Mytilus edulis: one gene and its partners. The protein of the gene in region 2 binds, or shares a complex with, the protein of the main gene of each other region. Links are inferred from orthologs where the notes say so. Each region holds a gene or a part of one and is shown on either strand. Other genes may lie near its edges.

Region 1 (7,781 bases), on a different chromosome or scaffold from region 2:
GTGTTGTTTAAAAACCAAACAAATGTAAAAGAATATTTGACCTTACTTAATTCCATTTCAATTATAAATGAACAATGATAACAAATTATACAATGAAGGAAAAATAAAAAGCACTGGCATGACTGGTAGTACAAAAATCAGGGGCGGATCCAGCCATTTTAAAAAGGGGGGGTTCCCAACCCAGAGTAAAGGGGGGGTTCCAGCTATATGCTCCCATTCAAATGCATTGATCGGTCAAAAAAAAGGGGGGTTCCAACCCCCAGAACCCCCCCTCTGGATCCGCACCTGAAAAATGTATTTAACTTTCCTGAATTGTAAAATTGTCATTCATCCCAGTCTGATCACTTTTAAAATATTCACAATATTTTTTCTAAAGTTTCAAAAATAAATATCATACAAATATTCTATATTTGACATAACGACAATCAGAAGAGAATACTGATAAATTATAAAGTAAGAAACAGATTAACTGAAGATTAAAAGTTATGTCAAAATTAGAATTAAGATCCATTTAACTTTTTTATATAAACATCTATAAATGTAAATTCTTAATTTAGAAATGATGTAAAAAAATATATTTAAATTAACCTGCGCCAGTAACAACTACTATGACCATATAATCATCTGGTACTAATTCACTTGGAAGATGGGTCGCTTTACTGGTCAAAAATTTGTAGCCAAATTCACATGGAGGAAATGCGTATAGAACACCAACATCATCTTTGTCCTTTGACTCATATGAAGGAAGGGAGATAACACCTGCTGCCTCTTTCTGTTTTAAGTAACTAACTAAATTTTTTAATGGTCTTTGTTGAACACTCGGGTCTTCATAGTTTTGAAGTGTGCTTGTCATAGCTAGCAAAATACAATGTCCTAATTTTCCAGCACTGGATACACGTTTTCCAACGTCTTCTAATTTAGGCTGGTCAAGCCTTAATCTCTGTTTGACCTTTAACACTGGTGTTTCTGTTGAATTAGGATCTCTCATTAGGGTATCAACAATGGTTACATTTCCACTTACAACATGCATTCTAGCAGGAAAAGCACTATTTTTCAAAATGACTGCACCATTCCATGCAACAGGTAAACACTTTGCAAGATCTGGTATTGAAGTTACATTTTCAATACCCATGTCTGAACTGTCAACTGAGTTCTTCCTTTCTTTCCTTGAATCGTCATGAGGATCAATTTCACCAAGTTCTCTTTCTTGTGAAAAAAGTGCTTTTTTCTCTCTTGATCTACCTCTAGACTCAGGGCCCTTACTAAACCTTTGATCAGGTGAAGTTGATATCTTCCTCCTCCTGTACTCGTCTGGAGATAAAGGTCTTTTTCTACCTTCTTCCCAACTACCACTATGTTTAAGTTCAATGTCAGGATTTCTATTATCATTTTCACGCCATTCTTCCCTTGTTCTACTTTCTTTACCTTCACGTCTTGATTCTTCATACAAGGAATTACCATCACGATGAGTGCTGTCTTGATTTTCGGGTATCATGATATGATTTGGATCTGCAAAATCAACCCGAAGACGTTTTTTATTCTCGGTTCCTCCCATTGGGGCACCACGCATTTCTTGACAAGCTGCTTGAGCAGCATCTAAATTATCATATAAAACATAGGCATAGTCTTTACCTCTAGGCCATTCTATTCTATTTATCATCCCAAATCGATCAAATTCTTGTTCAAGTGTTTCATGTGTAATCCATGAACCAAGACCACCAACCCATAAGCAAGTTGTTGCAGTCACTTTACCATAACCAATCTTACACTGAAACCTGCCAATATACTGGCCAGATTGTTCCACTTTGGCTTTGTGAGCACAGTCTAAATTTATGAACTTTATAAAGGCATAAGCATTTCCAGTGCCTCTTTGAGGTCTTTTTATATCGGTATCTTCTATTGTTCCATATCTCCCAAACACTGTTTTTAATTCTTGTTCAGAAATATTGTAATCAAGATTGCCTACAAATAATGTCCTGGTTGCATTTTCGTCATCCTCTGGCTGGATATGATCTAGATGATATGGGAATTTGTCATTTCGTTTAGGAGCATTATATGAGTCTCCTTGATTAAAATCTGGGGTTTCCCTTGGAGGCATGTTGCGAGGAGGTCCTTGGTAAAATCCACGACCAGATGGTCTTCTACTGCTAGGATATCCTCTAAAAGATCCCCTTCCTCTATAATTACTGCTACCATAATTGTCATGGCGCTCATAATGAAAATTATCGTTTCCGGGGCTATGGCTTCGTTTCTTTTGATACACAGCTTCTATTCTTACAGGACGATCAAAGAGAACAAGTTTGGATTTCAAATGTTTAGATTCACGTGCATCTTCTGGGTACCTGAAGTTTATATAAGCTACTCTAATATCACCACTATATGTAACATTAACATTGAATTCTCCAAATTTTTTGAACTCGTGATAGAGGGTCTCTTTCAAGACGGGAACAGGGATTTTCCCAGAGATATTACTTATACAAATAGATCTAAAGTCTGGTTGGTGTCTAGTATCAGGCCTAGAAGGTGGGGAATAATCCATTCGGTCATCTCTGTATTTAGCACGAGGACGGTCCATTTCATGATCAATGTTACGGTAAGATTTTTTCATAACCATGTCTCTGCGAGGGTCTCTTCGGTCGTACATATCTGGTGACATGCCTCTGCCCATATCATGATCTGACATGCGATATGATGACCTGGACCTTTTACTTATAGGGGAATGGTCTCTCATAGGTGAACGCTTCATTTTGCAGTATTATTTGCTTTCTTCGACAAAATCTTATTTCAGGACGCGATTCGTGTAGACATATTTCTTTCAACAGATTACTGCGCGTAAGTCAAAATATAATAACCTGTCATAATATTATTGGTTTTGCTCATGCATTTACCAGAGACAGGTACGAATACTTATATTTTATATCGCTGACACTTTTGAAACATTAATGTTTTTAGTATGTGTGTATCTATTTTGTGATCTATTTTGCGCTTCAAAATGTGATAATATGGTTGTAATTAGTACTTCCGGGGGCGTGGATGGTGGTTTGTAGAAAAGCATGATTATTGTCCGTATTCGTACCCGTCTAGCACTCATTTTTAAACATTCTTTTTTCCCTCCATATTTTTCGATAAGAATAGAAATATAAACAAAAATATCTGCGCTTTGAAGCAGGACAAATCGCCCCACAACAAATCACCAACTCGCCCCATTTAAAAAAAAATCGCTCACTTATAAAAAGGGTTATAATACGTTATTTCTTCTTCTTCTTCTTCTTCTTCTTCTTCTTCTTCTTCTTCTTCTTCTTCTTCTTCTTCTTCTTCTTCTTCTTCTTCTTCTTCTTCTTCTTCTTCTTCTTCTTCTTCTTCTTCTTCTTCTTCTTCTTCTTCTTCTTCTTCTTCTTCTTCTTCTTCTTCTTCTTCTTCTTCTTCTTCTTCTTCTTCTTCTTCTTCTTCTTCTTCTTCTTCTTCTTCTTCTTCTTCTTCTTCTTCTTCTTCTGGTATGAGATAAAAAAAAAACAAAAAAAACAAGATACATATTAAACATGCTGCAGGCTATTGGTTCAGGTAATTTGTTCCAGTCTTTTATAGTTTGGCAGAAAAATGAAAATTTGTAACTGTCTTTGCTGCATTGAATTTGTCGGTATGTTTGTTCGTGGCTAGACCTGGTGTTTGATTGGCTTTTAATTTATATGTCAGTATGTGGTATGACAATTTTGTTGTTTGTTATTCTATGGAACATATTTAATCTGCTTTTGAGTCTCCTTTCTTGTAATGTTGGCCAGTGAAGTGTGTTAATCATGTTTGTTACACTTTCAGTATATTTGTAGTTCGAGCATACATATCTAAATCATTTTTATTGGCTATGAGGTGGCGTGACTTAAATCATCAGGACTTACCGTTTTTATAAGTGGGAAGAATTAGCGTTCACGTCACGGAAATACTGATTCTCACTTCTTTCTTTTTTATTTCAACAAAAAGAAAAGAACTACAAAATAGATATAAGATGTGATATGAGTGCTAATGAGACAGCTCTCAATCCAAGTCACAATTCGTAAAAGAAAAACCATTATAGGTCAAAGTACGGTCTTCCACAAGGGAGCCTTGGATCACTACCGAACAGTAAGCCATACAGGCCCCAAAATGACTAGTGTAAAACCATTCATATCATTTAAAAACAGTGATAAGAAAAGTAAAAGCAACCCGGAAAAAGGAATCAAAGCCGCCATGCACGCATTTAGCACTAGCACAATCTAAAATTGATATTTACCAATCATGGTGCCTAAAATTTGCCATTTGTAACTTTCTTTTGTAGTAGAATGCCAAAATGTTTGGTTGTGTTTTTTCTTGTTTAATGTCTGTAAATACCCGACATCATTGACATGCGAAGGAAAGGTTCTAGGTGAAACAGAAGCAACGCTTTCTGTTTTTGTTTGAGTTTATCGGATCCCAGAGGTGGATTTAGGGCCGGGGGGGGGGGCAGGGGCCCGCCCCCCTTTTTTTGAAAAAAAGGTTGCTTATAAAGAGAATCACTGAAGCGTGACTGGAGTGGGCCCCCTCTTAGGCAGTCACTGGGCCCCACTTATGAAAATTTCTGGATCCGCCAGTGGATCCCAGTTCAAAAAAGCTGTGGCTAAACAAACTATATTTAGGAAACACACGAAAAGTAAAAATGCAAATAAATGTAAAGTTTGCCTTTAAGTAGACGCCACACCACAAATGCACAGAATCCAACGACTGACGTACTGTTAACTCGGGTTACTTGAATATCATAAACATATGGAGTACGATTATCCTATTTAATTAAAATACAGATCCGTGTCCGCCGACTCACAACGACTTATTATTTCATTATTTTTTCAATTCTTTATTAACCAAATGTTTTTCAACATATACTTAATTTAGATTACAAAATTGTACGATCATGACAAAACAGACAGAAATGTAAATATAATAACAAATAACAAATACATGTAACAATTGATTACATATCAACTTAAAAACAGTCATTTTAGAGCTTTGAACAGTGCTCTAAATATATATTTTCCTAACTTGCATAAGTCTTTTCAATCAGTCAGAAAGCACCTTTAAATTGTGGCCAACAAAAGACACAGTCAATTATAAAATTTAACAAGATTTATTATACAAAAGTTTACAAGAAGTATAACACCAATATTACTGTCAACTTTAAACTGTCAAAATATGAGTCCAGTCTTTTTTCTTTATCTGTATCCGGAAATCTTCTCAGAATCTAATCTGAATATTACGTTCACTACTAAGGTCACAATCCAGTCTGAGGTTGTTTGTAGAATAAAAGTGTGAATCAAAATGCTGTGAATACTAATTTCTATCGATGTCTAAGTCTGAGACTTTAGTGTCCGTATATGTATAGTTAGTGTAAACATATTTTATTAATTATATTCAGGTACATACATAGGCATTTACATAATAATACAAGTGAAATAATTAATAGGATCCAGAAACAAGCTCTTAGCTTATATTAATCCGTTTCCTAATAAGAACATTTCATATTTTAATACTCAAAGGGTAAAATGTTATAAAAAATAACAATGTTACACTAGATGGAAAGAAGAAATATGTATAGTTATCACGGAAATTTCTAGAAATGGAACGTCCTAGAAAGTTACAACGGATGTTTCTAGTAAAATGTAGAAGTTTAAATTACGCATCTTTTATTAGGATCCTTCTGGAATCATTATGTAAGTCAAATGGAAAGTTCCAATCATTCTGTGATTGTTCCAGTGATTTCTAAACTGTACAGTTATAAGACTTTTTTGTAAACAACTATCAGGCCACACAACACAAATTAGGCCAACATAAATAAATATAATAATTACAATATCATAACAATTTGTAAAGATTTATGAATAGATGGCTAACGCCAATAATATGGTTTTATCAAATTTTCACGCAATGCTGAATATGAAGGACATGATTAGATAAAATGCATTTCATCCTCTCTATATCATCTAGACACAATGTACAGATTCTAAGGTTTATATTTACATTAGAATACCTTACCTTTCCTATATAAATATAAGAAGATGTGGTGTGAGTGCCAATGAGACAACTCTCCATCCAAATAACAATTTATAAAAGTAAACCATTATAGGTCAATGTACGGCCTTCAACACGGAGCCTTGGCTCACACCGAACAACAAGCTATAAAGGGCCCCAAAATTACTAGTGTAAAACCATTCAATCGGGAAAACCAACGGTCTAATCTATATAAAAAGGAGAAACGAGAAACACGTATAAATTACATAAACAAACGATAACTACTGTACATAAGATTCCTGACTGCAAACATTTGCAGCGGGATTAAAGGTTTTAATGGTATCAAACCTTCTCCCTTTTTCTAAAATAATAGCATAACATCACAACATAGAAAAACACACGATAAATTATCAATTGACAGGCTTAACTCAATCAAAAAACGTAAATTAACAAACTATGAACTAATAATTTTGATCTGCGATATCTGCATGCAAATGCACAGTTAATAAAATATTAGGGACAAACATTCAAGGCCAAAAAGCAAACAAACAAGTCCAAACAAAGCCATGGCAAGACACCACTGCGAAATATCTAACCCTTTGAAAAAAATCACTTTTGAAAAAGCTATATTAGATGATGACAATCTAATATATTTGATCTGCGATATCTGCATGCAAATGCACAGTTAATAAAATATTAGGGACAAACATTCAAGGCCAAAAAGCAAACAAACAAATTTAGCAATACACTTTTGTAAATTTTGGGTATTGGTTTACATACATATGTGTGCAAAGAAAAATTTGATATCATATATCTACATGTATACAAAAAACATTTTGATGAACTATCTAAAGTAGCATCAAACTCTTGTTTGACAATGTCACACAGTCTCTGTTTATAACTATAATATGATGTTTGCATACAGAATAATCAGTTTGACGAAAACCACAAATCATTTTAAACTAAGGTGGAACAATTCTCCTCGTAGATTACAAACCCAGTTCTTATCAGTCATTTGGATTCTTCAAACAGATATCATATAAATAATTGTAACAACCAAGTAATATACAATTGTCGTAATTCAATACCTTAATCCAATATTTAAATTTACACAATTTCCTAGTGACTATGTTAAAGTTATTGACCAAGCAAGTCGGTATATATCTTTCAATCTGCGCGGCTCGGTGACCCTTATTAACCCGGACGACGTAGGAATTCGGTTTAAAGGGTCATCCGACCGTGCATATTAAATGATGTTTACCGATTTGATGATTGGCCAAAAACTGTTTTAACACACGACGCCATCAATTTACGTGAACGTTTTGAAAATATTCGGACGATATACCGCAATCCACGGCTCCTAGGAAAGTTTCTTGTAGGGTAAAGAAGACGAAATACGCAAATTAATGTAGCAAAAGATTGGTTAGTTTTAAATCATTACATGTAAATAAATATTGTCTAATATTACTAAATAAACAAAACATAGCTTCTCTGCCTGAAGTATTCAGCAACTTTTTTTTTGTGCAACAGAAAATGTTCCATTAAAATTAAGAACAAAGCTAGATAAGTAAATTTGTTAACTATATATCTATGTGTACATCATCATAAAACCATTTATTTTCTTCCTTTACTAACCCACCATTTCTAAAAAATATTGAAAATGTTTTCTTGGAGTAACAATCTACTCCATCATCATCCTCTCAGCTATGCGTTATTTTTTATAGCAACCATGCAGTCACAACCTCGGTGCAATAATAACATTAACGGTA
Region 2 (6,926 bases):
AGCTAACTTACACTCCAAGACTCTCAAAGGTAGCTGCATTAGGTTTACTGAGGTTGTTGACAAATAGTTCTAACTTGAATATAGATGGGTTAGTAGCCCTGAAATAAAATAAAAAAACAAAACTTAAGAATACTGTGGATTCAATTGTTTTTTTGGATATCAATTTTCATGGCTTAAGGAAAAACTGTTTCATCATTGATATCATATTTCATGGTTTTAACAAGCTCTTCTTACCAAGACTAAACAAAATTTGCAATTAGTCAAACATTTAAATCCCAGGTTCACCTATACCACTAAGTCATTGATTTTTTTATTCAACAATTAATAATCAATCCAAAGTAGAGAAGAATCACTTTAAGAACAGTATTTCAAGGAGTTTCAAAATGAAAAATAAAACCTTCCTAGATCTACATGTACATACATATGTATATATAGATGTACATAACTTAATAATTTCATGTCACAATTTTTTTTTGTATGTGTTTAACGCCATTTTTAGCAGCATTGGCAATATCATGATGGTGACTGATTCTTATTGGTAGAGGAAGCTTGTGAACCTGGAGAGAACCATACAACTATATATGTCAATCATTTGTTTAATATGAACAGGGTAGTTTTGAATGGAATTTGAATCACCATGTTAAAAGTGGACAGGCTAGTGATTACTGTAAATGAACTAAATTTTGTACTATGATCACTCTGAGGACCAACTGTCACAATTGAAATAGTAAGGAAAACTTTCTGCTGATAGTTACAATGTAGGTACATGTATTTTCATTGCCATGTTATCATTTTCATTTTTTTTTGCCTAGTCATGATAGTAGTATAAACCCTTCAAATATTTGAAATTTCTTGTTTCAATAACCAATCCCAAGGAATACAAATATATGTATAGATTTAACAGGTTATGAATGTTTTAATTGTTATGTTCTGTTTTCAAACTTTTAATACCACTTTACCATGTTTACTGAACTGCAGATCTAGAGTATTTTTAATATTTGTAAAATTTGGCTTTGTAAAAAAAGTTCTTCCCTTTAAACTAATATTGTTTTTCTTTTCGAATACTGCATGGGATGAATAAGTGCTGCTACAGGTACATGGTTGTGGGGATGATTTCTTATTATCTAACTAAACTCTAATAAATATTAAAACAACAGCTTTGCATTTTGGTGTATACTAGTTAAGAAGAAAAGATAAGATGACGTCAACCTTGGATACAATGTTACTTCCGAGATGTTGCTGGTTATGCTGTTTTCTCAACACTTTCAGGGCTTCAAAAAAGTATTATATGCAGAAGAGAAAATTGAAATACAATATATACATGTACATATAACTTAAATTAAATTTAGATTATTGTCATCTAAGAATACATGTAGTTGTCTTTTTCTAGGCAAAATATAAGGTGACATTGATCTTGGATACAATGTTACTTCTGAGACGTTGCTGGTCCAGAGGTCTTCTGGACAATGGTCAACACAGTGAACACACTGTATGTTGCATTGTTGTATTCAAGACATGGAAGTACATTTTATTCCTTTTACTAATAGTTTGTGTACATGCATATGTCTCTAATCATCAAGATCATTATTCTGATCCTTTATCTTTTACTTGATGTACATGTAGCTTACCCTAGCCTAACACCTCCTGGTACATCTGCTTCAACTTTGGTTTGCAGGGGTATTACCCTGATTTCCTGAATAATAACTGGCCTTGGAAACTGTACCAAGTCTAAATTTAACTCCTATAAAGAGAATAAAAGAAAGTGAATACAAATTCTCCAGTGTGAAGAGGAACACTGTGGGGAATATAAAATTTGTTTAGTGTTAAAGTAAAATATTCAATGCATTGATTCATGCAAGGTAGGGATTTTTTGCATTTGTTAAAGGGTACAAAAAGCATCCAAAGTGGAAATGGTTGTGACCTATAAAAAAATTGTAGGCCACCTTCTTCTATTTATATAGATAATCACCCTTCCCATGGATAGAAACAAGTGTCTGTGCCCAATCGGATAATTATTAAATCAATTAATTCATATTATATGTGATGAACCATGATGTTGATCAAACTATGACAAAGCGGTTTCTAATGAACAGCTCATGAATAAATGTGTACATATTTAAAAATAATTTAAAATGATGCTTTGACACAAATCCATCGATGCAACTAAAAAGATAATAAATGTAATATTTTTTAGATCCAGTTTCATTTTAAGGTTCATCATAAGGAATTGAAAAATATGGCCGTGTTTACACCTAAAAAATTACTATGAGTGCAGACAAACTGGTACATCCAGGAAAGTTTTAAGGCATGGCAGGAACTAGATATATAAAAGTTATACGAAGTCTACGTTTCAGAAAATTAAAAACTTACCTGGATTTTCATGTCCAGTTTTTTTCAGTCTGCAGAAGATAGCAAAATAAACAAACACCCGAGTTTCATTTGATACGGTCCACTCAGTTACACAGTTTAAATCACCTATTGTTTACAGGTGTCTATTGTCCATCCATTGTCCATTTAAATCAATACTACTCACAACATTGATTATATGAGGGGAGCTTCTCAATCGTTTTCACTACTTAGTTAATTTTTGCACCTTCTGCAGGAACGAAAAAAACTGGAAGGCAAAATCTAGAAAAGTTTATAATTTTCTAAAACATAAAATGCATTTAAAATTTATATACCTAGTTCCTGCCATCCCTTAAAACTGTTGCAAGTGCATAGGTTAGTCTGTACCCAGAGTAAAATTTGGGGTGTAAATACGGCCATATTAGCCAAAAGGTTATGATGAACCTTAAAAATAATAATACACGTCAAATGCGGCTATTTTATGTTGCATTTAATGGATTTATACACGAATGAAAGTTATTTGTGTTTGATACTGGAATAAATACACTCTTTATAAACCATATACCTCAGCGCTTTCGTGAGAAAACGTATCAAAAAACAACAACTCGGGTTCCTGCCCGGTGTCAGCCATTTTTTGGAAATAGTAAAAAATGGATCGAAGATGGTTTGGTACAGAAAATACGGAACGAGAATAATTGTCTTTGCTATCTCAATATTGTTAGGTGAATTGTCGTATTGTTTGTATTATAACCCACATTCCGTGTTATTTATATAACTCAGGTCAAAAGAAATATGCATAATAAAAACGATTAATCACAGTGGTCGAAAACTCCCACATTATTATTCCCAGAAATCTGTCTCTCATTGAAAAATGTTTTCCTATACAGTATACCTTTAATGATATATTAAGATATCATAGGCGGATCTAAGGGGGATCGCGGCCGGATCCCCCCCCCCCCCCCTTTTGTAGAAAAAAAATGAGTGATTATACGGTAAGTCAGTGGACCCCTTCTAAGAAGTTCTGGATCAGCCACTGGGTATAAAGTGTTTTTTTCCAGAGACAAAATTCCTGTGAATCACGACGGTGGAAAGATTGTATAATTCAAAAAATATAATATGTATTTAGGTATAGTGCGAGCAATAAAACATTTATAATATATAGCACTATTGTAAGCAGTTGCATTTTAATATATATTACTGCAGTTTTCAAAAATATATAACCAATTTGTCAGCGGATTGTCGTGAGTCAATATGATAGCAGATACTATTCATGATTGGCATAATGTGACAACTTTTCATATCATAATCAAACAGTATGTGCATTGCGGTCAGTTCATGTTTTAAATTTTCATCTATAAATAAAAACATCAAGATCAAGCACGTACATATGTCATTATTTTATACGTCTTTACATTGACATGTTATTTTCCTCTTCTTATAATTGAAACACTTAAATATGACACTCAGTAAAGCAGCAGCGTAAGAGTAGACTGAAAAGACACAGAGAAAAAGGGGGGTGGGGTAGTATTCTGTGAGATTGTATATTTGTTCTGCATAATATATGTTCCACATATATATGCATGGAACAAAAAAGTATGTTATAAAATTCCTGGAACTTAAATTACATGATATTTATTGAGGGTGAGGCAAAAAATATATAAATACTGTAAGTGGAGCATGAATCATCAATTAAATACATGGCATGGGCTGCGCCATCCGCATGATCCGCGAACGACCTAGATTAGAGAAACACATAAACGATATGAAAAGGCAAGCCAAGAGAAACCTTGGTTGATAACACTGAAATCTCTACATAGTCTGAAGATTCCTAAAAAGACAGGGTTATAAGATATACGTAAGACCAACAATGGAATATGCTTCGACAATATGCTACCCATATCAGTAAAAGCCCAAAGTAACAATCGAAAAAGTACAAAGACGAGCTAACTGCGCGGTGTGTAAGAAGAAGACATGGAAAAAGACCAAGTGACATCAACATGATACAAGAACTAGGATGGAAAAACTTACAAGCGAAGCACAAGGCAACAGGAATTTTTGTGTGCTGTACAATTTAACAAATGACCTGGTAGCTATAGACAAGAACAACAAAAAAATCTACAGAATCCAACAACAAGCTCTAATGGAACAGGAAATCATACATGATACATCAGTTATAGCTGACAACATATTGATTTATTTGTATTTGATTCTCGCAATTGCAAGCATATTTTTTAGCGGTATATAATAGTATTTGTTCTTGTACTCGTGATATTCTTTCCTGTTTGTTATATTTGAATGTTTTGTCATTAGAGAATTTAGTTTGATGTTATATTTGCTATCTACTCTTCAATCTTTATTTCATTTTTAAGACTCAGGTGATGTAGAGTTAAATATGATGTCTGTTGTTGTATAGTTGAAAATTATGATGCCTTGTAGATCGACGTCCTTCGAATATTTATTTTAGTACAGGTATTGTTCATATCTTTATATTCAGACTATAAAATAGTATCACAAAAATACCGAGCTCCAATGTACTTGAGTATATTACAAGTGGAGGTCTATAAAATACCGAGCTCCAATGTACTTGAGTATATTACAAGTGGAGGTCTATAAAATACCGAGCTCCAATGTACTTGAGTATATTACAAGGGGAGGTCTATAAAATACCGAGCTCCAATGTACTTGAGTATATTACAAGGGGAAGTCTATAAAATACCGAGCTCCAATGTACTTGAGTATATTACAAGGGGAGGTCTATAAAATACCGAGCTCCAATGTACTTGAGTATATTACAAGGGGAGGTCTATAAAATACCGAGCTCCAATGTACTTGAGTATATTACAAGGGGAGGTCTATAAAATACTGAGCTCCAATGTACTTGAGTATATTACAAGGGGAGGTCTATAAAATACTGAGCTCCAATGTACTTGAGTATATTACAAGGAGAGGTCTATAAAATACTGAGCTTCAATGTACTTGAGTATATTACAAGGGGAGGTCTATAAAATACCGAGCTCCAATGTACTTGAGTATATTACAAGGGGAGGTCTATAAAATACCGAGCTCCAATGTACTTGAGTATATTACAAGGGGAGGTCTATAAAATACCGAGCTCCAATGTACTTGAGTATATTACAAGTGGATGTCTATAAAACACCGAGCTCCAATGTACTTGAGTATATTACAAGTGGATGTCTATAAAATACCGAGCTCCAATGTACTTGAGTATATTACAAGTGGAAGTCTATAAAATACCTAGCTCCAATGTACTTGAGTATATTACAAGGGGAGGTCTATAAAATACCGAGCTCCAATGTACTTGAGTATATTACAAGGGGAGGTCTATAAAATACTGAGCTCCAATGTACTTGAGTATATTACAAGGGGAGGTCTATAAAATACCGAGCTCCAATGTACTTGAGTATATTACAAGGGGAGGTCTATAAAATACCGAGCTTCAATGTACTTCAGTATATTACAAGGGAAGGTCTATAAAATACCGAGCTCCAATGTACTTGAGTATATTACAAGGGGAGGTCTATAAAATACTGAGCTCCAATGTACTTGAGTATATTACAAGGGGAGGTCTATAAAATACTGAGCTCCAATGTACTTGAGTATATTACAAGGAGAGGTCTATAAAATACTGAGCTTCAATGTACTTGAGTATATTACAAGGGGAGGTCTATAAAATACCGAGCTCCAATGTACTTGAGTATATTACAAGGGGAGGTCTATAAAATACCGAGCTCCAATGTACTTGAGTATATTACAAGGGGAGGTCTATAAAATACCGAGCTCCAATGTACTTGAGTATATTACAAGTGGATGTCTATAAAACACCGAGCTCCAATGTACTTGAGTATATTACAAGTGGATGTCTATAAAATACCGAGCTCCAATGTACTTGAGTATATTACAAGTGGAAGTCTATAAAATACCTAGCTCCAATGTACTTGAGTATATTACAAGGGGAGGTCTATAAAATACCGAGCTCCAATGTACTTGAGTATATTACAAGGGGAGGTCTATAAAATACTGAGCTCCAATGTACTTGAGTATATTACAAGGGGAGGTCTATAAAATACCGAGCTCCAATGTACTTGAGTATATTACAAGGGGAGGTCTATAAAATACCGAGCTTCAATGTACTTCAGTATATTACAAGGGAAGGTCTATAAAATACCGAGCTCCAATGTACTTGAGTATATTACAAGGGGAGGTCTATAAAATACCGAGCTCCAATGCACTTGAGTATATTACAAGGGGAGGTCTATAAAATACCGAGCTCCAATGTACTTGAGTTTATTACAAGGGGAGGTCTATAAAATACTGAGCTCCAATGTACTTGAGTATATTACAAGGGGAGGTCTATAAAATACTGAGCTCCAATGTACTTGAGTATATTACAAGGGGAGGTCTATTAAATACCGAGCTCCAATGTACTTGAGTATATTACAAGTGGAGGTCTATAAAATACCGAGCTCCAATGTACTTGAGTATATTACAAGGGGAGGTTTATACCGAGCTCCAATGTACTTGAGTATATTATAAGGGGAGGTCTTTAAAAACTGATCAAA
Region 3 (7,885 bases), on a different chromosome or scaffold from region 2:
ATGGCAGTACAATATCAAATATCAGTTTCATAACGGTGACATAAAACATGCATAAGAAAATCTCCACTTCAGTTCTTACATGTATATGATCTATAAATAGATTTATCGGAATTCAGAGAACTCTCGCATTTTTATCAAAACTGGGGAATTCCCTCTGACATGTTTCTAAATTTATAAAAACACTAAATATAAATACTGCTTAATTCTGATTTTCTGTGTTGTTAAAAACATGCATATAAGTCAAGGGAAATATCAAACATGAAGATTATGAAAAGAACATTGAAGGAAAGTTAAAGTTCAATCCCTTTGTTTGTTTTTACCATTTAAAGCAAGACAATCATAAGAATCTGAGATGTTCCTTAATGTTTAGAATAAAACGGTTGACGTGAGGGCATGGCCCTGAGCCAACGGTATACGTCTACAGATTGCTTAAAAGCAATCGTATCCCAAAAAAAGGCGGCTAAAAATTTCCATTCATAAAATATTTCATACACAGGATTTTTTTCTCCTAAACTGGAGGACGGGAGGAAACCCCTGAAAACGGGATTATTGTACTCCGGTCGGGAGGTTCACATGTATGAGTTAAACACATAATTCATATATAAATATAAGTCTTATCATAAAGTAGATATATTTTGTCATGTAAATTTACCAAGATAAGTGTGGTTTATTTGATGTGAAATGTTATATAATGGTTTTGGAATGCCATCAGCAACATTTTTTGATTGAATGGTTTGTATTCTGTACCCTTCTGTGATGATATGAATGTGCTTATAACAATTATGAAGTGACAGATTACAAGTTCAATGCACTAACATTACTATAAAACTTAGTTTGAATGACATTTTATTGATATTATCTGAAATTATTAGGATAATAGCAAGTACATTTTTAACACATGTCCATTTCCACATTGTATCTTTATAAATGATGACGCGAAGATGAAATCTGCTACAATTAGGTAGTGTCAAGTCCTGTCAATATATATATATGTTCATGTGTCTGTTAAACAATTAAAAGGAATTCTTCATATCTTAAAATGAGACTGTAGCTTATATAATCATGATAATGTGACAGGGTTAAAATCACAATAATCTAAACTCACAATTTGAAATTTTATATTTGAATTAAACAGGATTTTTTAACTATGAACAATGATTGTTCCGACTTTTGAACATCCACTTTTTTCAGCTTGACGAGAATGAAAGTAGCATTGTAATAAGTGTTAAAAAAATAGTGGATTATCTAGACTCAGAAAGATCTTTATAAGGCACATGAAAATATCTATTCCTGTATATAGGTACAGATGGCTAAAAAATGTATAAAATCAACCAGGGCTCACGCTACCAGGCGACTTGGGCGAAGAAGTCGCCTTCCCGACCGTCACTCCGTTTTCCCCAACCCCCAAAAGCGAAAACAAGTCGCCCTGTTCTTGACGATACTCGCTTTCAGTCGCTTTCGTCATCGGACATAATTTTCAATTTTTACCAAGTTGATGAAACATCAATTTTTTATTGATAATTAAAGAAATTCAGACATAAACGATTCATTATCTTTAGAAAAGAGGTTGAAGCATTGTCTTTGCAGTGTGTAGCAGGTTATTTGATAAAAATACAACTTTTTATCACTTCGTGCATCTCCGCAAGTTCCGGGGCTTGTTACTCAAAAACGTACATTAACCTAAATTTCGGCGGCAAAATAAGTTTGTTACTTCATTTAAACGTGATAAAGGTTGCCTCCGGTAAATGTTTAATCCATTTATTGCATTAAAAACGTCATGTTCCTTTCCAAATAACTTGTCAAACATCGTTTATTTTTGTAAATTTTCTTTCATTCGTCCGCCATTGACCGATTTCTAAACTACTGATCTGAACCGGACAAGCTATGACCGAAATCCGTACTTTTACAATAATTACTACGGACGCACGGATGGAACAGCTGACAGAAGAATATTGATCCCAAAGGGAAAAATTACGCATTCCACTCGCATTAAGAGACTTTTTGTTACATCTAATTGATTGGTGTATATAATTCCCTATATTTTTTATGGATTGTTTTAAACTATTGATTAAAGTTGCTTAACTCTGAGACTATTATACTAATATCAATATATTATGGCCCAGCTTAATAAATTTTATATTTTTTTATGAAAAACACTGAATTTCATACACAAGATAATTTTTAATTAAATTGTAATTGATATATCATAATTTCTTTACATTTTTAAAATTGTTTTTTTTTTTAGTGCTAGATAATTAGTTGATAGTTTCCCACAAGAACTTACTTAGTAAAACTTAAACAACTTTTAATTTCAATTGTTACTTTAATTGTAATTTTTTTACTCAGGTATGAATTGAACAATATAAAAAGAACATTATTTACATATGGCCCTTTATACTATTGTAAAATCCAAACATTGTAGCGTACCATGCAAATGAGCACTTCTCTTTCAAATCTCACCACTTCTCCCTATCAGTTTCAAAAAGAGAAGTCACTTCTCCCTATAATTCTGAAGTAGTGTGAGCCCTGTTGACGTCATACAACAATCTCTTTTCCATGGTGGCAACAGGTATTTTGTATTATGACGTCAAATTTTAATGGATCCTGTGTGATGTCCAGTATTAAATGGCGAACAAATAACGATAAGGTTTATTGTTTAAAGACGTCACAATTTTAAGGGAACCTTTGTTGAAACCAGTAATGGCAGACAAATTATTGATATGATAAATTCACAGAGCCGAAGTTATTCATGACAAGGATTTGTTTAGTAAGATTTATAGCTATACAAATCCTTGTTTTCATCAAAGTGAAAGTTTAAGAACATTCAACAAAAGACAAGGATGAACAGTAAACAACTGAATCTTTCATAGTTTTCATTTTAAAAATTGAGATTAAAAATCATTTACTGCTTGTGCAAGCAGCTGTTTTCTTTTCTGTGATCTTTCTCGCAGCTCTTTTAATCTATCACCCATATTTTCCGCGTACTAGCTGGGTTTGTCTGGTACCTAAATATACCAGTCGATTGAACTTTTACGACAACTACTTATAACAAACTTATTCCATAGGAGTCAACGTGTTCATTCGATAGTGAAAAATATCACTTTTCCATACAAAAAAAGACATTGAAAGTAGTGAAAAAATAAAAAGACATTTGTTTTTACGTTTTACGTTTATATCTAAATACCAATATTTTATTTCTTAAATCGTGCGTAGCAACGTTCGATAAAAGGACACCACTTATCTTCTTCTTCTTTAGGTATACAATATTCCATCGACTTCGATGATTACATACAGTTCGCATACGTGGACTATTTACCAATTTTTTACCCCAATTTAAACGAAATATAATTAAAGTGCAATAAAATGTCAAATTTGTGATTAAAACTATCATGACTATATACAATTTAAATTGATGCTTTTTATTAATAGACAGAGAACAGCTGAAGTGAGCTGTTCTTTGAAGCTATCAATGGATGGTGCCTGGTACCACAGGGAGCTGGTTACACTGTGATATTGAATATGGAAAGTATGAATGTCTGTAGGACTCTTTTGATGTATGAATATGTAGGAAACCCAGTGATTTGTTGCCTCTGGATGTAATGTCATTTATATGTTTATCCCACTTTAGGTTTGACTGTATTGTGACACCAAGGTACTTAGCTGATGTGACTGATTCCAGTGTATGACCATTTACAATGTAGTTGTGCTGTATAGGTCGTTTCTTTTTGGTGACAGATAGCACAGTACATTTATCTGGATGGACTGAAGCCATCAGCCAGTCCCTCTCCCAACTAGCTGCCGCATCTAGATCTACTTGGAGATTATCACAGTCACTCTGGGATTTGATCGGTCTGTATATTATGGTATCATCTGCGAATAGCCTGAGCATGCTGTGGGTCAAGTAGTCTGGCAGGTCATTAATGTAGACCAGAAACAAGACAGGGCCCAATACAGTACCTTGTGAAACACCAGAAGTGACAGGGAGGATGACTTTCCATCTATGACAACAGTTTGTGTACGGTTGGAAAGAAATGCTTTTATCAAGTTTAGTGTTTGTCCAGAGATGTCGTAGTACTGTAATTTACAGAGAAGTCTTCGGTGATGAACTTTATCAAATGCCTTAGCAAAATCCATAATAACTAAATCTGTTTGAAATTTTTATTGTCTGTTTCTGATAATTCTTGTATGAAGGAAAGAAGTTGAGTTTCGTATGAGCGTGAATTTCGGAAGCCGTGTTGGAGATCATAGAGGATGTTGTTATTTTCGAGGTGATTCATAAGATGTTTTGTGACTATGTGTTCCTAACTTGCAACAGATGCAAGTTAATGAAATAGGTCGGTAGTTTACTGCTTTGTGTTTATCTCCTTTTTTAAAAGCTGGAGCGACGTTAGCATGCATCCAGTATGTTGGAGTTTGCCTAGCGTGAAATGACTTTTTGAATATGAGCTGCAGTATTGGTGCTATTTGTTTGTGTAGTTCTTTTAGAACTCAACCATTAATGTTGTCTGGACCGGTGGCTTTGTGAGGGTTCATGTTTTTCAGAATTTTTGTAATGCCAGGAAAATATGAGGTATTCTATGGTGTTTCTTTGGTATTCTGTGGTGTTCTGTGGTAAAAACTGCTCCCATCAATATGTTTAAATCCTGTGGGAGAATCAGACACAATGAATAGACAATCTCTGCACCCTGTGGAGGAGCAAACCTCAGTTTTAAACTCAGCCATTGGAAGGTGCTATTTTAAGTGCATATGGAAACAATAGAAATATAGATAAACAGAACCAGAAACAAACGGTTAAAAGAAGCAACAAGAAAAACCAGCAAAACCGGAAACTTGAATTAGAACAGATAGCTTATATAAGCTCATTAGAATAGCGCATTAAGAATCAAGACAAAACAATAGATTTACTAAAGAAAAACACGGAGATCATTCAAAGTAATGGACAGCCAGCAGATAACATCAATAGCATGAAAAGGCAACCAAATATAGAACAAGAAAATCTGAATAGAAGCAATATAGATCAAATGAGAGATGAGCTTCAAAAACAGATAAAACAAGAAATGCATGGGCAAATGATGGATATGAGGCTAAAGCAGCTATAAAGATATAACTCTGGACAAAATCAACATCAAATGGATCCAAGAGGGTATAACTCTGGACAAATCCAACATCAAACTGATCCAAGAGGGTATATCTCTGGACAAATTCTACATCAAAATGACCAAAGAAGGTATAACTCTGGACAAAATCAACATCAAATGGATCCAAAAAGGTATAACTCTGAACAAAGCCAACATCAAGCTGATCCAAGAGGGTTTAACTCTGGACAAAATCAAAAACAACATCAAAATGACCCAGGATGTTTGAACTCTTGGCAAGGTCAACATCAACAAAATGATCCAAGAGGGTATCAATATAACTCAGAGCAAAGTCAAATTCACCAAAATCATCTGAGAAGATTTAACTCTGGACCACATCGGCAACAACAAAAAGACCAAAGAGGGTATTACTCTGGACAAAATCAACATCTTCAAAATGATCCAAGAGGGTATAACTCTGAACAACATCAGCAAAATGATAACAAAAGGGTACAACTCTGGAAAAAGTCGACATCAAAATGATCCCTATACTAATGGACAAGGTCAATCTTATTTAAACGGTCAACTCCAGTTTTATTCAAGGCAAGACCAAGTCAGTCAAATTGATTAATTACACTACAACTCAGTGCATCACGATGATCTACTAAGACAAGGACTGCCGAGAGTGCCACCACCACCTTATCAACAGAATAGTAATCTCTATAACCATAACAAAATATCAGTAGAAAGACACAGTGATAATGGGCAAAGAAAAGAAAAGTCCAAATCAGAAGGTAGCTCAAGTCCGCTAAGTCATGCCGAAACAGAAATTAAACTGACCCAAGCATTTGATAAACTTACAAATCCAGAGTCTCTGCTAAATGAAGAACAAAACCTAAAAGAAACACCAACAATTACTGCAACTCCTGACACTGAAATAACAGTTCCTAATAATCAACATGTTGACCATCCTTCAATGAACCTTCCTCAACATTCAACAGAAGAAGAAAAGCCAAAACAGTATTTTTAGGGAAAATAGACCAACCAAAGGAACCACCAGACATCCAAAAACTTGGACAGGAGACCGAAATACTACTGAGACAATGCTAGACATTGTCTCAATGAACATTGAGAGAATGAAAGGCAGCAATGTATATCTGAAAGAACTTTTAAAAACAAACACAATTCTATGCTTGCATTGGTTACACGGATATGAATTAGTCGCACTAAAAGAAATTCTGCCAGACTGCGACTATCATATCTCAAGCTTTGATGATAATCTAGTTGATTTGGAACTACAAAGAAGAAGGGGGAATGGGGGAGTAATAACTATATGGCCTCCAACAATCTCACATAAGATCAGGAAGCTAGAAAAAGAAGAATAGTCATCGAAATTTAGTCTGAACCAGTTAAAGTAATCCTAATTAATAGATATATGCCAACAATGGCAACAGGATCAGACAAAGAGTACAGAGAACAACTGGATAAAATTTCGTCAATTATTGATAAATATGAGCAAACACACAATGTCTTCATAGTGGGGGATTTGAATGGAACACTCATGCAAAGTAGAAATAATAACCATGACAATTTGCTTAAGAACTTCTGCAGTCAACATCAGCTATTAAAAGCATAGTTAAAAATACTCACAAACCTACTTTTTATCACCATAATAAAAATTCCACCTCGCAGATAGAGTACAACTTCAGAGGCAGTAATCTTTTGGATTCAGCGATTATGGACCAACATCTACTTAACAGTTCAGCACATGTACCAGTAAAGGCAAAACACAACCTGATCGTTAAGGGGAAAACTTAGATGATCAGCACAACAAGCAAAAAGAAAACTATTCTGAAATGGGAAGAAAAAAACATAGAAAATTACCAACCAAAGGTAATTCAAGTGAGGAAGAAGACTGAAATGCAAAAAGGAAACTGATGTAGAACAACAAGCAATTGATATCATAAACATTTTACAGGAAGCTACTGAATTGAGTGTTGTTCAGAGTGTTTTGATGGCTTTCGAGATATTGTCATCTATGTGTTTGTCCTATTTAAGGTTTGATTGTAATGTAAGTACTTAGCAGATGTAACAGATTCTAAAATATGATTGTGAAGAGTGTAATTATGTTGTAAAGGTTGACGTTTAGTTGTGACAGAGAGAACATTACACTTGTCTTGGTGGGAGGCCATCATCCAGTCCTCCTCCCATTTTGCAGCTGCATCAAGGTCAGCTTGCAGTTTTAAACAGTCACTCTAGGATTTAACTGGCATATATATGATGCTGTCATCAGCAAGTAATCTTAGTTTGTAAGGTAGTCTGGAAGGTCATTAATATAAGCCAAGAATAATACTGGACCTAAGACAGTACCTTGTGGAACCCCAGAGGTGACTGGGACTGTGCTTGATGATCTTCCATCCAGAACAACTGTTTGGGTTCGATCGGAGAGAAATGCAGAGATCCAGTTTAAAGTGTTTCCATTAATGCCAAAATATTTAGTAGTGTAATTTGTAAAGTAACTAAGTGACGATGCGGAACTTTATTAAAGGCCTTCGCAAAGTCCATTATTACAAGGTTTCTTTGTGTATTTGAATTGTTTGTGGATTGAAGTTTTTAGATGAAGGAGAAAAGTTATGTCTCGCAATATCAAGAGTGCCGAAAGCCATGTTGGAGGTCATACAAGATGTTATTTGATTCGAGATGTTTCATAATATGTGATGTTACTATGTGTTCCCTTAACTTGCAGAATATACAAGTTAATGAGATAGGTCTATATTTGACCGGTTTATGGTTATCCCCCTTTTTATATG

Evidence for each region.
Region 1: protein virilizer homolog (region 2) and RNA-binding protein spenito-like share a complex: the UniProt entries of both Drosophila melanogaster proteins name them as parts of the WMM complex. The link is inferred for Mytilus edulis from reciprocal best matches to the Drosophila melanogaster genes vir and nito.
Region 3: protein virilizer homolog (region 2) and N(6)-adenosine-methyltransferase non-catalytic subunit METTL14-like share a complex: the UniProt entries of both Drosophila melanogaster proteins name them as parts of the WMM complex. The link is inferred for Mytilus edulis from reciprocal best matches to the Drosophila melanogaster genes vir and Mettl14.

What each region holds. Positions count from the first base shown.
Region 1 is NC_092344.1:101,822,185-101,829,965, forward strand, and holds the start of RNA-binding protein spenito-like, read right to left. Parts: upstream 3,022-7,781; 5' UTR 2,747-3,021; coding exon 589-2,746; intron 1-588. UniProt on the Drosophila melanogaster protein: RNA-binding protein that acts as an associated component of the WMM complex, a complex that mediates N6-methyladenosine (m6A) methylation of mRNAs. M6a modification plays a role in the efficiency of mRNA splicing and is required for sex determination.
Region 2 is NC_092348.1:85,678,884-85,685,809, forward strand, and holds the start of protein virilizer homolog, read right to left. Parts: upstream 3,035-6,926; 5' UTR 2,978-3,034; coding exon 2,912-2,977; intron 1,742-2,911; coding exon 1,629-1,741; intron 99-1,628; coding exon 12-98; intron 1-11. UniProt on the Drosophila melanogaster protein: Associated component of the WMM complex, a complex that mediates N6-methyladenosine (m6A) methylation of mRNAs, a modification that plays a role in the efficiency of mRNA splicing and is required for sex determination.
Region 3 is NC_092352.1:28,718,904-28,726,788, forward strand, and holds the start of N(6)-adenosine-methyltransferase non-catalytic subunit METTL14-like, read right to left. Parts: upstream 3,047-7,885; 5' UTR 2,973-3,046; coding exon 2,907-2,972; intron 1-2,906. Other genes in the region: putative uncharacterized protein DDB_G0279653, read left to right, coding at 5,130-5,545, 5,745-6,105. UniProt on the Drosophila melanogaster protein: Non-catalytic component of the WMM complex, a complex that mediates N6-methyladenosine (m6A) methylation of mRNAs, a modification that plays a role in the efficiency of mRNA splicing and is required for sex determination.